Nothobranchius furzeri: one gene and its partners. The main gene of each other region encodes a partner of the protein of the gene in region 4 in a complex. Links are inferred from orthologs where the notes say so. Each region holds a gene or a part of one and is shown on either strand. Other genes may lie near its edges.

Region 1 (4,143 bases), on a different chromosome or scaffold from region 4:
GTTAAAATGTAAAAGGAAAACAATGGGAGGGATCCAGACAGTAGCCAATGGCACCACATCTTCGTAATTATATAGAAAAGTACACTGACTCACTGACTGTCCTAGCTTCATCCAGCTCTGACCTTCAGCTCTTGCTGGGTAGGTTCACGGCTGAGTGTGAAGCGGCTGGGATGAGGATCAGCACCTCCAAATCTGAGACCATGGTTCTCGACCGGAAAAGGGTGGCTTGCCAACTCCGGGTCGGGGGAGAGGTCCTACCTCAAGTGGAGGAGTTTAAGTATCTCGGGGTCTTGTTCACGAGTGAGGGTAGGAGGGATCGGGAGATCGACAGGCGGATTGGTTCGGCGTCTGCAGTGATGACGCTGAGCCGATCTGTCGTGGTGAAGAGGGAGCTGAGCCAGAAAGCCAGGCTCTCGATTTACCGGTCGATCTACGTCCCAATCCTCACCTATGGTCATGAGCTTTGGGTAATGACCGAAAGAACGAGATCGCGGATACAAGCGGCCGAAATGAGTTTCCTCCGTAGGGTGGCCGGGCTCAGCCTTAGAGATAGGGTGAGGAGCTCGGAGATTCGGGAGGGACTCGGAGTAGAACCGCTGCTCCTCCGGATCGAAAGGAGTCAGTTGAGGTGGTTTGGGCATCTGGTCAGGATGCCTCCTGGACGCCTCCCTGGGGAGGTGTTTCGGGCATGTCCTGCCAGCAGGAGGCCCCCGGGTCGACCCAGGACACGTTGGAGAGGTTACATCTCCAATCTGGTCCGGGAACGCCTTGGGGTCCTGCCGGAGGAGCTGGTGGAGGTGGCCGGGGAGAGGACGGTCTGGAGCTCCCTAGATGGGATGCTGCCCCCGCGACCCGGACCCGGATAAGCGGAGGAAGACGACACTGACTCAATACCCTTGGGTATTTGCTTTCCTAAACATATGTTTATGAAGGAATGATTAGGTTTAGTTAGAAGTTAATCCATTACACCATCTCATTTAGACAAGGCAGTTTTATTTATATTTCAAACAGAAGCAATTAAACGTCCTTTCAGGTCCAAGTAAAACGCCCGAAAACAAAAATTAGCCGACAGAGTAAAACTGTAAGGTTCGTCTTCAGCGTTCAGACATAAATTCTGATTGCTTTACAGCCAGACAGGACGTGGTTTATAAAAAAAAAGAAGCATAAAGATGCAAATGTTTAAATCGAATTTAAGATGTACAAATAAAAATATTTAAAAAAAACTGCAGAAGGTGTTGATGTTGGAAGAAAAAGAATATATATATATATATATATATATAAAATCAGTAATTTGCTAATGAGATTTCTTGCACATATATGGCATTAAAACACTTCTGATGCTGATATAAAAATCCCCATCTCACCCTCCGTGGGTGGTCTCATCCTTCCAACCTTGGGTCCTCTACCAGAGGCTTGGGATCTTGAGGGTTCTGCAGTATATTAGCTGTTCCTAGAACTGCACTTTTCTGGACTGAGAGGTCTGATTGTTTTCCTTGGATCTGCTTTAGCCACTCCTGCAGTTTGGGGGTTATTGCCCTGATGACCATGGGCACCACCGATGTCTTCACTCTCCAGCTTAAGTTCTTCTTTGAGGCCCTGGTACTTTTCTAGTTTCTCGTGCTCCTTTTCCCGGATTTGCATGACTTGGTATCGCCACATCAACCACAACGGCTGATCTCTGTGGTTTGTCCACCACCACAATGTCCGGTTGGTTCACCATCACCATTTTGTCAGTCTGGGTCTGGAAGTCCCACAGGAGCTTGGTTCTCTTGTTCTCTACCACCTTAGGGTCAAAAGGTACGTGCAGTCCAAGTGCACCAAAATACAAGAAATCCTGAAAGTGATGGTCTGGTCCCACAGAGCCTGATCTCAACATCAATCGTGTGTCTAGGATTACAGGAAGAGACAGAAGGATGTGAAGAAGTCCATATCCACCGATGATCTGTGGTTAGTTCTCCAAGATGTTTAGAACCAGCCCAGTTCCTTCAACAAATGTGTGTGTGCACCTAGAACTGATGCTGTTCTAAAGGCAAAAGATGGTCACACCAAATATTGATTTGACTTGATTTAGATTATGTCCATTCACTGCTTTTTTGATTCTTGATAAATGATTAACACTTCCAGTTTTGAAAGCATTCTGCGTTTTTCCCACTAATACACTAAGAAGAAACACACACACAAACAACTACAAAGCTCGGATGAAGGCGAAAACTTAAAAAAAAATTGTAAGCAAACGCAAAATGATCTAATTTAGCGATCCTCCGTGTTTCCTCCCGGATGTATTTAGTGGACGGACAAAATACCCGGAAGTACATCATCCAAACTCGCGTCGTTAGCATTCTGCCTAAGTAGTCATTTATCCAAAATGTCTTCTAAACTAAACGCTTTAACCAGCGATTCTTACACTGAGATTAGTCAATATAGAGATCAACACTTTAAGGTAAGGGAGAAGGTGAATGAATTCGACTTTTGTATGTAAATGTGTTTTTCTCCTGCTCTAAGAGTAGTTTTATGTCATGTTTGTTTTTAGGGTAATCGTTATGAACAGGAGAAGCTGCTAAAGCACAGTAACACTCTGTATGTTGGGAACCTCTCCTTTTACACAACGGAAGAGCAGGTAAGACCTTTAAATAAAGCTAGCTTCGGCTTCCTGAGGACTGCTTTACTTCTTACATTATTCCATGAAAACCTTTCAGAACTTCTAAACGTGGTTATAACCAGCTAAATAATCCGATGTTCAAGATCGATGTAGCTACTACTGAGATCTGATGAATGTTGGCTTATAAAAACTAGACGGTTGTGGCTGGTTTATACTAGATTGAAGGCATATTTCGAATCACTGCTAATATGAACAGGTGCACGAGTTGTTTGCTAAATGTGGAGACGTGAAGCGTATCATCATCGGCCTGGATAAAATCAAGAAGACTGCCTGCGGATTCTGTTTTGTTGAGTATCCTTTTAAACTATTGGTAAATGGCCTGTATCTGTATAGCATCTTCTTAAGGTTCTACAGCCCCCCAAGGTGCTTTACAACACAATTAGTCACCCACCCACACATTCACACGCTGGTGATGATGAGCTACAATGTTGCCACAGCTGCCCTGGGTGCATAGACTGGCACAACCGGTCCTACTGACCACCACCAGCAGACAAGGCAGATTAAAAGTTTCGCCCAAGGACACAACAGCAGCATTCTCTGGCTGGAGCCGGGATCAAACCTACAACCTTCCAATTACTAGACAACCCACTCTACCTCCTGAGGTACTGCTGCTCTATCGTCACCTGATCTAGTAAAGCCAATTGATGCACAAGAAAACAAACCGTTTAAATGTCAACAGTGTTTCTGTCTTGACTGGTCGTGTATTAAAAGGGTAGCATTGATGTGAAAATGAACAGAGTGTGGACCTTAGCTGCGCCTGTACCAGATACTACACACGAGGAGACGCAGAGAACGCCATGCGCTTCGTTAACGGTACCCGGCTGGATGACCGGATCATCAGGACAGACTGGGACGCAGGCTTCAAGGAGGGCAGGCAGTACGGGCGTGGCAAATCTGGAGGACAGGTGAGGTTTACGGTCATTTTGGTTCATAATGTGAACTTGCTTAAAGGCCCAGTGTGTGATATTTTTTACCAGTTTACTATCAAATCCTGTGTTTGCAGTTCACAAACTGCAAACTTATATAGTTATACATTTTATATACATAATCTGTGGTCGAGGCTCCATGGTCATCCACCATCTTAAAATACAGTAGCTGTTTAGGGACATACGAGCTCCACGTTACCGTTTGGACTATGACTGTAACCTGAAAGAACCAGCAGAGGGCAGCAGTGTGCCCTGGAAGCATGAAGTCTGCTAATTCAACTAAGAAATAGAAAAGAATAGCTACACCGTTGCTCTACTTGTTAGTTTGAATTAAAAACAACTAAATCAAAAGACATCAAATTTGTCCATTCCTCGTCATGTCCAACACAAGATCCCCGCCCGCCATTATCTGGAAGCCAGCCTCTGATTAGTGTCTCTGACTCCCAAACTCACCTCAAGTTGTTCATCCATCTTTTCGTAGAACCAGAACTCCCGATCCGGTCCCAACGTGTCTGTACTAAAGTCCTTCTACTCAAGTCTCCTCTCTTCCCGCAGCCT
Region 2 (4,214 bases), about 12 Mb from region 4:
CACTGCAAAAGCTGTCATGGGAGAGGGGTTATTCTGATCTGTCTGGGACCAAACCTGCGTGTTGCTGTTAGAAACCTTTCTTTCTGCATGACAGAATCACAGAAGCAAGACTTCCTGCTTTACTGAACATTTTTCTTCAACAGTTCTTTTATTTGTCCTGCAATGACACACTAACACAATACCTCTTTATATACTGAAATCAGCAAAGATTTTTTTAAATTCAGATCCAGGATATAATTTTGAACACAAACAGAGTATTTTTCATTTGTTAGCATTAATGTTTCTTTTATTTCTAAAGGTAAATAAAAAATGGAATACAAACAAACAGTGTGACTTCAATGACTCCTTTAGTTTTCAGTGCTCCTTTTTCATCTCAGTTCTGGTTTTCTATGATCACACACAGGGATGTGTTCAGAAAACCTCCAGGTCTGTCGAGTTATAGACCACCGCCGTCTCCTCGGTTCCCACAGCAACCTCCTCCTGACCCGCCTCCTCTTCCTCTGCAGCCTCCTCCAGAGATTCCAAGGCCTCGTTAGTATCACTAGCAAAGGTTTCCCTGGAGACGTCGTCATGCTCATGCAGGTTCAGAGTGCCGATGGCCTGCTTCATCTTCTTAGCCAGCTCATGCCGCCTCCTCTTCTGCGCTGCCTTCTTGCTCTTGTAATCTTTCTGATGTTCCTCAAAAAATATCTTCCTGATCTGGGACTTGGAGACGCTGGGCGTGTTCTTCAGCAGGTTGAGGAATACTCCACCGGGAGTCCTCCGCCTGCTGCCATCCATAGTGTAAACACCACCGTTTTCCTCCAGTGTGGCGGTCTCACCCAGCAGTTCTATGGCTTTTTGTGATCCAATAACGCGAACAACTCGCTCTATCAGATCTTTTTTAGGCTCCTGCAGTCTGTATGTAATCTCGTCCACCACCTTGTCCTCGGGGTCGTCTTCAGTGATTTCAAATCGACCCTTGATGTCCATCTCAGCTATGGCGCCAAGTCTTTCTTTGGCGGGTCTTTTCCTCTTAACATCATTCCCTGCCTTCTCTTGTGAACCCCGGCCCTTCATGTAGGCCTCCAGTTCAGCATCTAGCATGGTCTCCTCTTCTCCCTGCTTTGACTGCTTCTCCATCTCTCTCTCCTTCTCCATCATCTTTCGGGCTAGAACAAAGTTATAAGTCTCCACACTTCTGCTGGACATGCTGACACCCTCCATACCAAAGATGCCTAGCTCTGAGGTGATGGCATCCTGGCACTGCTCCTGGACCACGGAACCCCAAATATTGTTTACCTTGCGACTTCCAAGCGCACCCGGGGCGGGCACGGGCCTCGGACCAGGCAGAGCAGACCCTGCAGGCTGCTGTGGAGCTCCAGACACTTTCTGTCTCTTTCGGCGCCACATGGCCGAATCCTCGTCTGAAGAATCCGGATCACTGTCGCTGGACTCCACCGCCTTAGCGGAGCTTCGGTATGGGGCGGCAGGCGGCCGGGTGGCGGCTCGTTGCTGAAAGGACTGCCCGCTAAAAGCCGAGGAAGCCTCGGTTCGGTCAGGTTCTGCTGCAGCCGTTCCCATTTCGGTGTCCGAGTTGGACCCAGAGATTTCTCCATCTTCCAAGTCACCGTCCATCAGTTCGGCCATTCGGTAGCCTACCTGGAAGTCAGAGCCAACAACAGAGGCTGTTATCAACACCTTTGTCTCTGAAGTTCGGGTTACTCATAGCTAACTCCACAGCACGTTAGCGGCTAACAAACTCAATGCTAAGGCCGGCCACAAAATAATGCAATGAACACCTTAAAGAGCCCGATAGAAAGCTCTATTCCGCAGGCGAATGTAGTTTAAATCAGCTTGGCGACTCCTCAACGCAACGATTAACGAACGCACCAACTTACGAAAGAGCCAGAGGTGAATTGGCGCTGGCTAAAGCGCCACTTCCGCCTGGGAACTGTCAGAACGTTTCAAAATAAAACTACAACTACGCATTTTACATATTGTGGTTGTGGATGCGTAATTTTTGGCATTTTATCTGTTGTGTTATTTATTATATGTCCTAAAATCAAGAATATTGCTTTCCTATGTAATATGATCTCAGAAAACTCCCCAAGTTTCAAGGATTTTAATACAGTGTCACTATGCAGGTGTACACTTACTAGCATTGTCAACATACTAAACATGGGCCAAAATATTATATGTTAAATGTAGCATGTTTACAAATGTATGTGTGTGTGTGTGTGTGTGTGTGTGTGGGGGGGGGGGGGGGGTCATTAAAACGCATTTATTTATACGTCAATGTAATTTCGTCCAAATATAAATTATTTCTTTATAATTAAAGTTTTTATTATCTTCAGATTTTTTATAACGTACAAGAACATACAAAAACAAAATTCTATGCAACCTGGTAGGAGTATGGTAGTATCTATGCAACACCTTGTACTGTATAAATTTACTTCTAGCCTCTTTCACATATTTACCACTGTCTGATAAGACATTTAGCCATTTTTCATTTGTGTATTCTGTTTCCAAGTCCCGCTGCCAAAGTAGTTTAATGCCTAAAGACTCCCCACTTAAACCATGATTAAACAGTTTATAAAACACCGAAGCAGTGTGGCGGTCACGTGGCATTTTAATATAACCTAAAATATCATTCTCAGGAACTTCCTTAAATTTAGAAGTCACACAATGTCTCATTTGGAGGTATTTCCAAAAATGTCCTTTACCTTGCAATTTGTAAGTATGGGTTAGATCCTCGTAAGACATAAAGTTTCCATCTTTACACAGATCTCCAATATTACATATACCACGTGAGTGCCACTGTCAAATATAAATTATTGAGTTCCGGGTTCTAAGAAACATTAGTATTTCTCAAAGCAACTGCTTTTATTTTTTAAAGAACCAAAGCACCACCTTCTCTTCCTTGTCCGTAGCGGAAGTTGCGTGACGCACGCATGCGCACATTTACAAATAAACAATATGGCAGCGTCATTTCATCTTCTCACATCTGCGGGGAGAATTATTTTACAAAGAAACTTACTCAAGAGTAATTATCTCAGCGGGGTAAGAATGATTAAAATCGATTTTAATCGATCATGGTTTATTGGGCAGCAGTAGTTCAACAGGTTGAGCGGGTTGTCCAGTAATCGGAAGGTTGCAGGTTCGATCCCGGCTCCGGACAGAGAATTCTGCTGTTGTGTCCTTGGGCAAGACACTTAACCCACGTTGCCTGCTGGTGGTGGTCGGAGGGTCCGGTGGCGCCTGTGCTCGGCAGCCTCACCTCTGTCAGTGCGCCCCAGGGCAGCTGTGGCTACATCGTAGCTCATCACCATCAGTGTGTGAATGTGTGTGTGTGTGTGTGTGAATGGATGAATGATACACTGTAGTGTAAAATGCTTTGGAGTCCTTACTGTGAGAGGCGCTACACAAGTGCGGGTCATTTATCATATATTGTCTACAGGACGCTTGAAACTAGGTTTTAGCCGGCTCACTGTTTAACATAGCCGCTACAGGCTAACTGTGATAAATCCTTATGTTTGGTTGGAGTGAAATAGCGGGTATTGTTTCTCAACGTCAAGGAACCTTGTCTTGATGTCTTGGCCCCGCCCCGGTTGCCTAGGAGATACGCCATCAGGAGCCGCCAAGACGTGTTCCAATCGGTTCCAATGACCTTCCCCACTAGAAGCTGGATGTTCTACCGAGGCGTGTGTTCTCCGTTTGTTCTTCCATTTAACCGATTTCTTTGATCAAGGAAGGACAGTGTCCTCGTAAGCAAGGCGCCTCGCAAGACATCGCCTCGCAAGGCGCCTTGACATTGAGAAACACCCTCCGTCAGTATAACAACAATGCTATGTAGTTAACTAGTACTGATTAACAGCAGCTGGTCTAACTCTGAAGACTCATACTGACTTGCTGATTTTGTGACTGTAGCGGCGGCTGTTGGCTACTCGGGCTGCCCACCAGGTGGCGCTAAATGTCCCAGAAACTAAAGTTACTACTTTAGAAAACGGACTGCGGGTGGCTTCAGAGGACTCCGGCCTTACTACGTGCACAGTAAGTTCAAATCCTAAATGAACAGCATGTGGGTCAAACAGCAACCATGTACTTTAAACATCCAGCCATTAAATTTACAGTTTTTTTTGTCAATACTGGATCAGAGTACTGGATAGTTATCCCACCACCATGATTCAGTCACCATAGCTTCACCCTAGTCATGCATCAGATGTAAGCTGGAG
Region 3 (3,511 bases), on a different chromosome or scaffold from region 4:
ACCCGCAGGAGGAACATGAAGGGTCCGGTGCAGTGTGGATCGGGTGGCAGACCAAGACGGGAGCCTTGGCGGTCCGATCCCCGGACAAGGAAACTGGTTTTTGGGACATGGAACGTACCTCGCTGGCGGGGAAGGAGCAGGAGCTTGTGGCAGAGGTTGAGCGATACCGGCTAGATATAGTCGGACTCATCTCGACACATAGCATTGGCTCTGGAACCCAAGTCCTTGAGAGGGGGTGGACACTCTCCTTTGCTGAAGTGGCTCTGGGTGAGAGGGGGAGGGCTGGGGTTGGCGTTTTTGTTAGCCCCAAGACTCTCTGCCTGTGTGTTGGGGTTTACCCCAGGGGACGAGAGGGTAGCTTCCCTGCGTCTTCGGGTTGGGGAATGGGTCCTGACTGTTGTTTGTGCTTATGGACCAAATATCAGTTCAGAGTACCCACCCTTTTTGGAGTCCCTGGGACGAGTGCTAGATAGTGCTCCATCAGGGGACTCCATTGTCCTGCTGGGGGACTTCAATGCTCACGTGGGCAATGACAGCTTGACCTGGAGGGGTGTGATTGGGAGGAACACCCACCTGATCTGAACTCGAGTGGTGTTTCATTATTGGACTTCTGTGCAAGCTGCAGTTTGGCCATAACGAACACCATGTTCGAACATAAGGATACCCATCAGTACACTTGGTACCAGGGCAGCCTAGGTCGCAGGTCGATGATAGACTTTGTAGTCAACTATAGGGGGATCACACTCCTCAGCCTCCCTGGAAAGGTCTACTCCAAGGTACTGGAGAGGAGGGTCCGATCGATAGTTGAATCTCAGATTGAAGAGGAGCAATGTGGTTTTCGTCCTGGCCGTGGAACTGTGGGCCAGCTCTATACCATTGCAAGGGTGATGGAGGGGGCATGGGAGTTTGCCCAACCAATCCACATGTGTTTTGTGGATTTGGAGAAGGCTTGTGACCGTGTCCCCAGGGGCACCCTGTGGGGGACGCTCCAGGTGTATGTGGTGGGTGGCTTTCTGTTAAGGGCCATTCAGTCCCTTTACCAGAGGAGCGTGAGTTTGGTCCACATAGCCGGTAGTAAGTCGGACCTGTTCCCGGTGAGGGTTGGACTCCACCAGGGCTGCCCTTTGTCACCGGTTCTGTTCATTACCTTTATGGACAGAATTTCTAGGCGCAGCCGTGGTGTGGAGTGTGTCGAGTTTGGTGGCAGGAGAATCTCGTCTCTGCTTTTTGCGGATGATGTGGTCCTCCTAGCTTCATCCAGCTCTGACCTTCAGCTCTTGTTGGGTAGGTTTGTGGCCGAGTGTGAAGCGGCTGGGATGAGGATCAGCACCTCCAAATCTGAGACCATGGCTCTCGACCGGAAAATGATGGCTTGCCAACTCCGGGTCGGGAGAGAGGTCCTACCTCAAGTGGAGGAGTTTAAGTATCTTGGGGTCTTGTTCACGAGTGAGGGTAGGAGGGATCGGGAGATCGACAGGTGGATTGGTTCAGGGTCTGCAGTGATGCGGACGCTGAGCCGATCTGTCGTGGCTCTCGATTTACCGGTCGATCTACGTCCCAATCCTCACCTATGGTCATGAGCTTTGGGTAATGGCCGAAAGAATGAGATCGCGGATACAAGCGGCCGAAATGAGTTTCCTCCGTAGGGTGGCCGGGCTCAGCCTTAGAGATAGGGTGAGGAGCTCTGACATTCGGGAGGGACTCGGAGTAGAACCGCTGCTCCTCCGGATCGAAAGGAGTCAGTTGAGGTGGTTTGGGCATCTGGTCAGGATGCCTCCCTGGGGAGGCCCCCGGATCGACCCAGGACACATTGGAGAGGTTACATCTCCAATATGGTCCGGGAATGCCTTGGGGTCCTGCCGGAGGAGCTGGTGGAGGTGGCCTGGGAGAGGACAGTCTGGAGCTCCCTAGTTGGGATGCTGCCCCCGCGACCCGGACCCGGATAAGCGGAGGAAGACGACGACGACGATTTAGCATTTCTGTTTGAACTACAAAATCATATTTGTTTCTTTAGACCACAGGTGCCAAACTAAGGCCCTCAGGACCAAATTTGGGTCGCAGTCTATTTTTATTTGGCCCGCAAGATCAAATATATATTAAAGTTGCCCACCGGCCGATTTTGCTGCAAAGACGAGTAGTAAATAGTCCAAAGTTAATGCCAAAGCCATTTGTTCTGAGCTGATGCCATCTTTGTAGTTTTTCTCCCTCACTACTCTGGTGCTAAGCCCACCAAGCAAACGTAGAGTGCGCTGATTGGCCAACGGTAGACTTGCTGAGTCTACAATGGAGCGTGGCTAGACCGACCAGCACAGCTGAATCTTGTAGTCAGGATTTCTAACTCTTCCGGACTGACCCGGGACCCACCGCCCTTGATGAGTCTGGTGTCTGTAATCCTGTGTAGATGATGAGTTGTGTGTGTGTGTGTGTGTGTGTGTGTGTGTGTGTGTGTGTGTGTGTGTGTGTGTGTGTGTGTGTGTGTGTGTGTGTGTGTGTGTGTGTGTGTGTGTGTGTGTGTGTGTGTGTGTTTCCAGGAAGAGGAGGTATCACAACCGCCGCATACAAAGAGACGTCATCAAGAGCAAGAAACCTCTGATTGGAGACAGCATGGGACACACACCTCCATACACACACCGACACTCAGGTAACAACACAATAGAGCTGATGAAATTGAAACGTGGTTTTTATCATGGAGTCTAAATCGGCTGATTAAGGCATTCACGCGTAGAGGTCATTCCCTAGCCTGGCCTGCCAGACTCCTCCTCTGGTTAATTCTGCACAGAGAAAGGATCTGGGAACTCTCCTATTCAAATGACCCCGCCCCCTGAGAATTCTAACCGAGCCAATCAGCGCTGAGTAGTGTACGTCACACACCACAACGCCAAGTTTGTAATTAACATGGCGACTGAAGTGGAGTTCGCTGCGGCTCTTTCCTCTGTTCCAAGTGACTTGGACATGTCTTTAAAACCACAACAAGTAGAAGTGCTAAAAGCCTTTCTTCTAAAGAAAGATGTCTTCTCCGTTGTCAGACGCTATTTTTGACCACAGCTAAAAAACTACAGCGTCACGCGGTACAGTCTGCATTTCCGTCTTTTTCCTGATTGGTTATTTTTGAGCTGGCTAGTCCCGCCCCCCATGTGCCACTCTGCCTGTGAGTTACCAGACTCTCTCTGTGCAGAATTAAACAGAGGACGAGTCTGGCAGGCCAGGCTAGTCATTCAACATGTCGGGGTTCCTTTGATCAGTCAGTGTAGGGTTGGGCATCGAGCATCGGTTGGAACCGGTACCGTCAGTTCTTCCTGGATTTGCTCAAATCTTTATATTTTAATTCCTAAATATGATTCTCAGTGAATGAGCGGCCAATCTCCATGGAGAAAAAAATGTATCTGCAAATTCTGATCAACGCCTTTCAGAGCCGGGCATACCACCTACCTGTCGCTCCTACTTCGCAGCCTTCAGATTCCCCGAGGGCTGTATTGCAGCACCACGGGGTCGGGATGTTTTCTGAAAAGCC
Region 4 (3,511 bases):
GAGCTTTATGAGAAGAAGGACGTTGAGATGGACCGACTACTCAGCCAGATCGAAGGCTACCTCAAGTGAGACTTCTGCCTTTTTTTTTCTCTATTCTTTACTGTTTTACATTCTCATTATTGAAAGAATGGTTTAATCCAATGAAATAATTTCATTCTACATTTAGCTCTGTAATGCCATTATATTTTCAGGAGAAGAGTCAAGACTCATGTTCCCATGCTGCAGGTTTGGACTGCAGAGAAACCCCACCCACAAGAAGAGGTGAGTCTCCCCAGTCCATTTCTGATCTGTTGTGTTTCTCACCACAAAGCTTCCGTTTGCAACTATTCCCTCCATGTAGAGCTCTGATCTAATAATTAGTCAGAATAAACAAGGCTACTTATGAAAAATGAGTCCTGAAGTTTTGCCGTTCCTGATCTTGTTGTTTTTTCTTAATTGACTTGAGTTTGTATGCGTTATAACTAATCTGTCCATGTGTTTGTGTTCAGAAAGACAAGCATCAGTTAAACCAGTATATATCACTGGGCTGTGGTTGTTGTTGCCTAAATGTTGGCGTGCGTTTTTAGTTTCTTTTTAGATGTTTCGGGACGACGGTGGCACAGGAGTTAAGTGTTCACCCCGTAATCGGAAGGTTGCAGGTTCGAGCCTTGCTCAGTCTGTCGCTGTCGTTGTGTCCTTGGGCAAGACACTTAACCCCCCTTGCCTGCTGGTGGTGGTCGGAGGGACCGGTGGCGCCTGTGCTCGGCAGCCTCGCCTCTGTCAGTGCGCCCCAGGGCAGCTGTGGCTACATCCCCACCAGTGTGTGAATGTGTGTGTGAATGGGTGAATGACTGATTGTGCTGTAAAGCGCCTTGGGGGTTCCAGGACTCTAGAAGGCGCTATATCAAATACAGGCCATTTACCATTTTTGCCATGTCCTTCTCTGAGTTACAGAGTTTCACTTTAGTGTTTCTCCAGTTCCCTCGGGAATCTGGAACCTATGTAGAACTTTTCCCAATTTGGTGACCTTGAGGAAGAAAGTGTGAGAAATGTGGGAAAACATTGAGATGTTTTTAAGACACTTTGTCACACCAAAAATGCACAACAGTTGTCAGTGTTGATGATAATGTTGAACTCAGCAGAGGCAAAACCTGAGTCATACATAGCAGCACAGTTTGTTGAAAATCCCAATATTTCTCATCATTCTCCACCTCCAACAGTTACGTTCCTCAACATTGCATAAAGTTTTAAAACTGATGCAGAGTCGTCTATGTAACCTAAAAATCCCATCCCCATGATATGCTAGCCTAACTTCACCCAGCTGTTGACCCTCCGCAGAGTAAGAAAACACTTGGAGCCTGCTGCTGTTTCTTCAGAAACCTGCTCTGTGTGTTTTAGTACTTGGACTGCCTTTGGGCTCAGGTCCAGAAGCTGAAGAAGGACCGCTGGCAGGAGCGCCACATCCTTCGTCCGTACATCGCCTTTGACAGTGTCCTCTGTGAGGCCCTGCAGCACAACCTCCCCCCCTTCACTCCACCAGGCCACATGCCTGACGCCCAGTACCCGATGCCCCGCGTCATCTTCAGGATGTTTGACTACACTGATGCCCCAGAGGTCCGTTCGTCTCTTTGTTTCATAACATAATTAGTTCAACTTGTTTGGGTCGGAAACTGGTTAAAAAGCAGCTTTACTCAGTAACCGACTAGTTATACTGTTCCGTACCCCTCTTCTTACTCACATAGTTGCATATCTGTTCTCTACAGGGGCCCGTCATGCCCGGCAGCCATTCTGTGGAGAGGTATGTCATAGAAGAAAACCTGCAGTGTATTATCAAAACCCACTGGAAGGAGAGGAAAACATGGTGGGTGGTGAGCCCTATGAAATCATCCTTTCTATAAAACATGAAGGTTACATGTGAGGCGTCTATCTGACCTTCTATTCGTAACCTTCCAGCGCTGCCCAGTTACTCAGTTATCCAGGAAAAAACAAGATCCCTCTCAACTATCACATTGTGGAGGTAAACTTCTTGTTCTTTCACTGGAGCCAAAAGAAAACAACAGTTTGATCAAATAAGAGTTACTGATTTGTTTCAGGTGATTTTTGGAGAGCTTTTCCAGCTGCCTTTGCCTCCTCACATAGACGTCATGTACACCACACTGCTGATCGAACTCTGCAAACTTCAGCCGGGGTCGCTGCCCCAAGTCGTATCTTTTTATAATGTTACCCGTATCGGGGGGAAGTGTATCGAGTGTTTTTGTGCAGATTATTGAAGGGGACAAAAGGATTCACTCATCTTCTAATGAAAACCAGGTGTGTGTTTTATCATTGTGGCAGATTTAACCTTAACATGAGTGTGATAGTTGGCTCAGGCCACAGAGATGCTCTACATGAGACTGGACACCATGAACACCACCTGTATAGACAGGTAAGGGACTGCATATTTAACAGGATATCCCCTAGAGGTCTGTCAACAGCACTCCAGTCCACACTCATCACTTCCCCTTTGTTATTGAATAGATTTATCAACTGGTTTTCTCATCATTTGAGCAACTTCCAGTTTCGATGGAGCTGGGATGACTGGTGGGTGATTATTTTACAGGCACTTTTATGAAATCAGGAAAAAGGTGTTAATTAAATGTTAAATATGTTTGTGGTTGAAGGTCCGACTGCTTGACCCAGGATCTGGAGATGCCTAAGCCCAAGTTTGTCAAAGAGGTTCTGGAGAAGAGCATGAGGTGATAACAGAGCTGCATTACTGGGGTGGCTTAGATAAGCTGTCAGCAGTCTGATTATACTTGTTTGTTCTTATTCAAGAATATTTCAGTGTGAGACATTCACTCTTGTGTTTCTACTCTTGGACAAGTTTCTTTTAGCTCAGTGTTATTTTATTTTTTATTTTTTGCATCACTTTCAGACTTTCCTACCACCAGAGGATAGTGGACATCGTCCCTGCAACTTTCTCAGCTCTCATTCCCGCTGAACCCCTTTTTTCTTATAAGTACGAGGATGAGAGTTCTGGTAGGAATTCTGATGTTTTATGTTATAAACATTTTAAAGAAACTTTCTGAAAACAGTTTAAGATGTTAGTGTTGTTTCCTTTATAGAATCCTAATAATAAATCAAATCTTTGCTTTCCCACAGCTTCGTTACCAGGTTACCCCGTCTCCATCACCGTTGGAAATGCCATCAAGAACCGAGCGTCCAATGAGGAAATCCTCGCCATTCTCAAGGAAGTCCCCAACCCAAATCAGGAAGACGACGACGGTTTGTTTAACTTTAACTTTACATTGTTTTTCAGAAAATCCTTTAAAGAGGTTCTTCACTCCTATTTTTAATACATTAGCGGTGGTCTCTAGTAGGAATAAATGCCTTGTAAGTTGTACTCTGGGGGAAAAAAAGCTCCGGTGCACCTGTTTCAGAACGGAGAATTAAACCAGAGGAGAAAGTGTTTATGTTTATTTATTTGGCAGACGCTTTTATCCAAAGCGACTTACAATTTATAACCTATAGCAGTGGTTCCTAACCTGGGGGT
Region 5 (3,511 bases), about 1.1 Mb from region 4:
TGCAGTCTATAAGGCTTGCTCACATCGAAGGAGCTGTTCTGCTGCAAGAGCTCACGAAGAAGGGAGTTGGCCTTCATCTCCCTCCGCCTAGTAAAGGGGATCCTCCGGGGGGTGCTGTTGGCAGTCCCAGTCAAGCCCCCATTAGTCCCAGGAGTAGCCACCAAGACCACTCGGCTGTGAGAGTTTGTAGTGGCCAAGCGGGAGGCCTCAGGCCTGGCCCGAGGCCGGGAGAGCTCACGGTCCTTGCGCTCCCAGCCCTGCTGCTTGCGCACAGGCAGGCAGTAAGTGTGCATGTACGTAATCAGTTCCACTACAGAGCGCAGCTCTTTTTCTGAGCTGAACTGAGATGTAGCTGGCTCCACAGGCACAGCAGCTGCAACTGCTGCACCTTCAACTTCACTACTGGAAGACTCCTCCTCCCCTTCCTCCTCATCTTCCTCCTCCTCGTCCTCCTCCGACACACTCTCCTCGTCCTCTTCTTCCTCTTCGTCCTCATCTGTCTTGAGAACTGGGTTGTTCTCTGCATCTTGTGCGGTGGTGAGGTGGCGGTGCAGCTCTGTGCACAGACGCCCTGCAGGACGCACGGCTCGAGGCTTCCGCTCCTGAGGGCGTTCACTCTGGGGGTGATGAAAAAAAAAGACTTGAACCAATGGCAAGATTTGCTGGAGCTTAAGAGTCAAAATCATTCTAAAATTGATATTGTGCTTTTTCTTCTTTTCTTTCTGCCTGTTATGCTGTTTTGTACAGGTAATGAGGTTCATTAAAGTTATAATTTCTGCAAATTTTTGTGTTTAAAGGTTCCGTAGCATGCTACTTTAAACCTGTGAGAACAAAGGCAGTTTCAGTAAATGATAAAATAATACAGTTGGCACTATTGAGATGTCATTTATCTTAAATGCGAGTTAATTTCGTCAGACTGAATTTATACCCAGAAATAGTCTGCTACAAGACTGCAGTCGCCTAAGCCACACATCCTAATCTGGACAGGGGAGACAGACCAGAGACAAGCGTCCAGGAGAGGAGTGGGACCTGATGACGAGGTTAGTTTCCATTAGTGCTTTACAGGACTTTCAAAGTAAAACTCTAAATTTTCAGCTGAAACAGGAAAATGCATGAATGCAGCCAAAAAGGGTTTTTTTTTCAAGAGGAAATGACGATATCACATTTTATCACAAGCTCAAAAAAGTAGATTTTACATGGATTTTTTTATATGAACCTTTTTGTATTTTTTTGTGTGTGAAAAAAAAACAGGAAGTAAAAACTGAATGCCTTCACAAATTTTTAAGGAATCAGACATTTTTGTTTATTTTTTTAGTAGAGCAGGTTGAATCGGAAAATATCCAATAAAATCACAACGATTTTCCTCTGGGAATAATTTAGCTGCATGACTCTAAGTAAATACAACACATCAGCGACAGCACCAACTCTGTCAAGCAACATCAGTGCATGTTGGTATCTTTATCTAGAAATCTTCATTCTTTAATCATGAGGATCAGCAAGAATTCTGCAATTTTCCATTTTCCTTCTTTTTGTGCTGGAAATAAATTGCTAGACTGTCTGATAATAGAAAAGAAAAGTGAACCACCACACAAGAAAAACAAACTTAACAACCACAAGATTGTATTTCCAATTTCCTGCCCTGGACCAAGCCCCCACAATGCGGGACAGAAATTGAGGCCAACGCGGAAGTGAAATAAATTGCAGTTCCACCCTCATCCACTAGGGGCTGGTGTCAGAAGCGAGCAAATCCTCATTGACTCCCATGTTAAAAATACCAATTTCACAGTAGAAATAAACATGTTTACAGCCTGGTACCAAAACATGGTTTTGGTTTAAATGATCTAGTTTACACTCATGACAACTCTGAGGGGGTGAATTTTTTGTCACTCTTCTGTTTAAGTGTATTAAAAGCCTAAAATTCTGTATGACTAATGAGCATCAGACCCACTTGACCACAGAGCTAGCTCCGTGGAAAGGCCTCAGTAGGCTCAGTCTGAGCCTCAGCCCTGCCTAGTCTCTGAACTTAGTTGTAGCGTTTGTGCGTTCTTTTTTGGATATTATTTGTGCAATTGTTGGACAAAATGACTTGCTGTGGTATTAATTGCACTAATAGAGCGTCCAAGGAGTCTCTGCTTCATTATTTCTGTAAGTAAAATTATATTTATGTATTTATGTCGATGATTTTAGGTCACTGCCGCTCTTGCACTAGCTGCTTAGATTTTAACATGTACTGTTTAACCATGATATTTAAATGTAATAGGGTAAAACCCAGTACATTTAACATAATGCTGCACTTTAGAAAATGGGTTGAAATATAACATGTTGGTGGAGCTGGGTTCCGACTACCGGTATGGTCCCCACCGCAGCTCGGCGCATCTCTGATCGCCGTGGCGCTTGTCTGCTGTGTGGCTGCCGGCTTGTGGAGGTCTCCGAGACCTCTGTGTTCCACCCGGTTTTACCCAGCGGTCAGCCCGGTGTACCTCTGACTCAGAAGCTCTGGTGTTGTGCACAGTTAACTCTGGTTGTAGCTAGGTTGCTACCTCCATTAGCTTAGCTCCCACCTCTGCGTTAGCTTCGGGTTAGCTTCAGGTAAGCTTGTAGCTAGTTCGACGGGTGTCGTCATTTGATCCCAGCCTTACAGCCCCACCCTCAGCTCCACCTCTGTTCCCTTTTGTGGAATTGTCTGGGCTTGACGGAACCTGTGACACAGTCAAAATGGCGGTTGTGGCCACCTCCCATTTCTCCTCAAACACATGTCATTGGAGTCTATGGAAACCCATTGTCCATATATTTCTATGTTGATGCCCTGGACACTGTATCTAGGAACAAAAGGCAGTAAGTTTTCCCTCCCATCCGACGTGGGATGATTCAGTCTGCAGCTGTACTAAAATGGCAGATCTATATTACTCACACAGATAGAGAGGAGAGGGAGTGCCTGTGATTCACCGTTGCCCTCTTGCCCTGTCAGTCAATACTTTTGCCATCTGCCAAAGCAAAAAAGCCACACCACTCTCAAACTGCACACACAGCCATCGACAGCGAGTTGATTAATAGTGGATGATAGATTCAGGTTTGGTTTAGACCGACCACTTCCTGTGGGCTTCTTGTACCCTCTTCACTTGAGCAGGAGCAGAAGTTTGTGTGAAGTGTCCTTTTCTTGTAAAAGATAAATGACTCATGCTGTAATCAATGACCACTTGAAGTACAATGCTAGCAGCTATCCAATTACTGCTAAGTCATACAGCAGTAGCTGTTGTAGATGTCTTCTCCTCCTCAACACCACATTTATCATGAGCAGCAGCTGAAGGTCTCTACAAGCCTGAATGCTCCGAGTATTTCTAAAATAAAACATCTGTCATTTGTTAAATAAAAGCTGGCGCAGCAAAACACGCACCACTTTTGGTTGCATTGTGAACCTTTTTGGAAAATCTTTTCTGTTCATTTAAACACCATCTCAGATGTTTCAGGGGCTGTATCTTATAGCTGAAGAAGCTGAAACCACAACTAGTTT

What was found.
Region 1: the proteins of nuclear cap-binding protein subunit 1 (region 4) and ncbp2 are in contact, whole or in part, in a crystal structure (PDB 5OOB), measured with the Homo sapiens proteins. The link is inferred for Nothobranchius furzeri from reciprocal best matches to the Homo sapiens genes NCBP1 and NCBP2. Residues at the interface, in NP_002477.1 of Homo sapiens: Glu32, Cys36, Leu71, Thr74, Val75, Arg77, Leu78, Leu79, Ser324, His325, Trp326, Lys327, Glu328, Arg329, Lys330, Ile368, Val370, Met371, Thr374, Glu378, Asn415, His419, Ser422, Asn423, Gln425, Lys455, Arg458, Leu459, Ser460, Tyr461; in NP_031388.2 of Homo sapiens: Gly4, Leu5, Leu6, Lys7, Leu9, Arg10, Ser11, Asp12, Ser13, Tyr14, Glu53, Glu54, Gln55, Tyr57, Glu58, Leu59, Lys62, Ser63, Asp65, Lys67, Ile69, Tyr89, Asn96, Arg99, Tyr100, Asn102, Gly103, Thr104, Arg105, Leu106.
Region 2: the proteins of nuclear cap-binding protein subunit 1 (region 4) and phax are in contact, whole or in part, in a cryo-EM structure (PDB 8PNT), measured with the Homo sapiens proteins. The link is inferred for Nothobranchius furzeri from reciprocal best matches to the Homo sapiens genes NCBP1 and PHAX. Residues at the interface, in NP_002477.1 of Homo sapiens: Cys380, Lys381, Pro384, Pro388, Gln389, Leu391, Ala392, Thr395, Phe417, His420, Leu421, Asn423, Phe424, Gln425, Arg427, Trp428, Ser429, Asp432; in NP_115553.2 of Homo sapiens: Ile114, Asn115, Asn116, Ile117, Trp118, Gly119, Val121, Leu122, Glu124, Gln125.
Region 3: the proteins of nuclear cap-binding protein subunit 1 (region 4) and ncbp3 are in contact, whole or in part, in a cryo-EM structure (PDB 8BY6), measured with the Homo sapiens proteins. The link is inferred for Nothobranchius furzeri from reciprocal best matches to the Homo sapiens genes NCBP1 and NCBP3. Residues at the interface, in NP_002477.1 of Homo sapiens: Lys330, Ile377, Glu378, Cys380, Lys381, Pro384, Pro388, Gln389, Ala392, His420, Asn423, Phe424, Gln425, Arg427, Trp428, Ser429, Glu431, Asp432; in NP_001107590.1 of Homo sapiens: Glu572, Asp574, Glu576, Leu577, Gln578, Ala580, Trp581, Gly582, Leu584, Ile585, Lys588, Glu589, Arg592.
Region 5: the proteins of nuclear cap-binding protein subunit 1 (region 4) and ppargc1b are in contact, whole or in part, in a crystal structure (PDB 6D0Y), measured with the Homo sapiens proteins. The link is inferred for Nothobranchius furzeri from reciprocal best matches to the Homo sapiens genes NCBP1 and PPARGC1B. Residues at the interface, in NP_002477.1 of Homo sapiens: Glu26, Asp29, His30, Ser33, Leu34, Lys37, Val38, Lys41, Ser42, Ala43, Cys44, Asn49, Gly52, Leu53, Val56; in NP_573570.3 of Homo sapiens: Tyr1006, Glu1007, Ala1008, Met1009, Asp1010, Phe1011, Asp1012, Leu1014, Leu1015, Lys1016, Glu1017, Ala1018, Gln1019.

What each region holds. Positions count from the first base shown.
Region 1 is NC_091748.1:71,743,268-71,747,410, forward strand, and holds the start of ncbp2 (nuclear cap-binding protein subunit 2), read left to right. Parts: upstream 1-1,337; 5' UTR 1,338-2,365; coding exon 2,366-2,440; intron 2,441-2,530; coding exon 2,531-2,617; intron 2,618-2,855; coding exon 2,856-2,950; intron 2,951-3,425; coding exon 3,426-3,564; intron 3,565-4,143. UniProt on the Homo sapiens protein: Component of the cap-binding complex (CBC), which binds co-transcriptionally to the 5' cap of pre-mRNAs and is involved in various processes such as pre-mRNA splicing, translation regulation, nonsense-mediated mRNA decay, RNA-mediated gene silencing (RNAi) by microRNAs (miRNAs) and mRNA export.
Region 2 is NC_091741.1:59,213,571-59,217,784, forward strand, and holds phax (phosphorylated adapter RNA export protein), read right to left. Parts: upstream 2,811-4,214; 5' UTR 2,706-2,810; intron 1,919-2,705; exon of another isoform or gene 1,782-1,918; intron 1,642-1,781; 5' UTR 1,630-1,641; coding exon 412-1,629; 3' UTR 123-411; downstream 1-122. Other genes in the region: pmpcb (mitochondrial-processing peptidase subunit beta), read left to right, coding at 2,959-3,042, 3,910-4,032. UniProt on the Homo sapiens protein: A phosphoprotein adapter involved in the XPO1-mediated U snRNA export from the nucleus.
Region 3 is NC_091750.1:26,025,811-26,029,321, reverse strand, and holds part of ncbp3 (nuclear cap-binding protein subunit 3), read left to right. Parts: intron 1-2,531; coding exon 2,532-2,641; intron 2,642-3,511. UniProt on the Homo sapiens protein: Associates with NCBP1/CBP80 to form an alternative cap-binding complex (CBC) which plays a key role in mRNA export. NCBP3 serves as adapter protein linking the capped RNAs (m7GpppG-capped RNA) to NCBP1/CBP80.
Region 4 is NC_091741.1:71,543,982-71,547,492, reverse strand, and holds part of nuclear cap-binding protein subunit 1, read left to right. Parts: coding exon 1-65; intron 66-191; coding exon 192-261; intron 262-1,377; coding exon 1,378-1,593; intron 1,594-1,742; coding exon 1,743-1,840; intron 1,841-1,932; coding exon 1,933-1,996; intron 1,997-2,072; coding exon 2,073-2,183; intron 2,184-2,339; coding exon 2,340-2,404; intron 2,405-2,496; coding exon 2,497-2,559; intron 2,560-2,639; coding exon 2,640-2,714; intron 2,715-2,893; coding exon 2,894-2,997; intron 2,998-3,120; coding exon 3,121-3,243; intron 3,244-3,511. UniProt on the Homo sapiens protein: Component of the cap-binding complex (CBC), which binds cotranscriptionally to the 5'-cap of pre-mRNAs and is involved in various processes such as pre-mRNA splicing, translation regulation, nonsense-mediated mRNA decay, RNA-mediated gene silencing (RNAi) by microRNAs (miRNAs) and mRNA export.
Region 5 is NC_091741.1:70,431,975-70,435,485, forward strand, and holds part of ppargc1b (peroxisome proliferator-activated receptor gamma coactivator 1-beta), read right to left. Parts: intron 618-3,511; coding exon 1-617. UniProt on the Homo sapiens protein: Plays a role of stimulator of transcription factors and nuclear receptors activities. Activates transcriptional activity of estrogen receptor alpha, nuclear respiratory factor 1 (NRF1) and glucocorticoid receptor in the presence of glucocorticoids.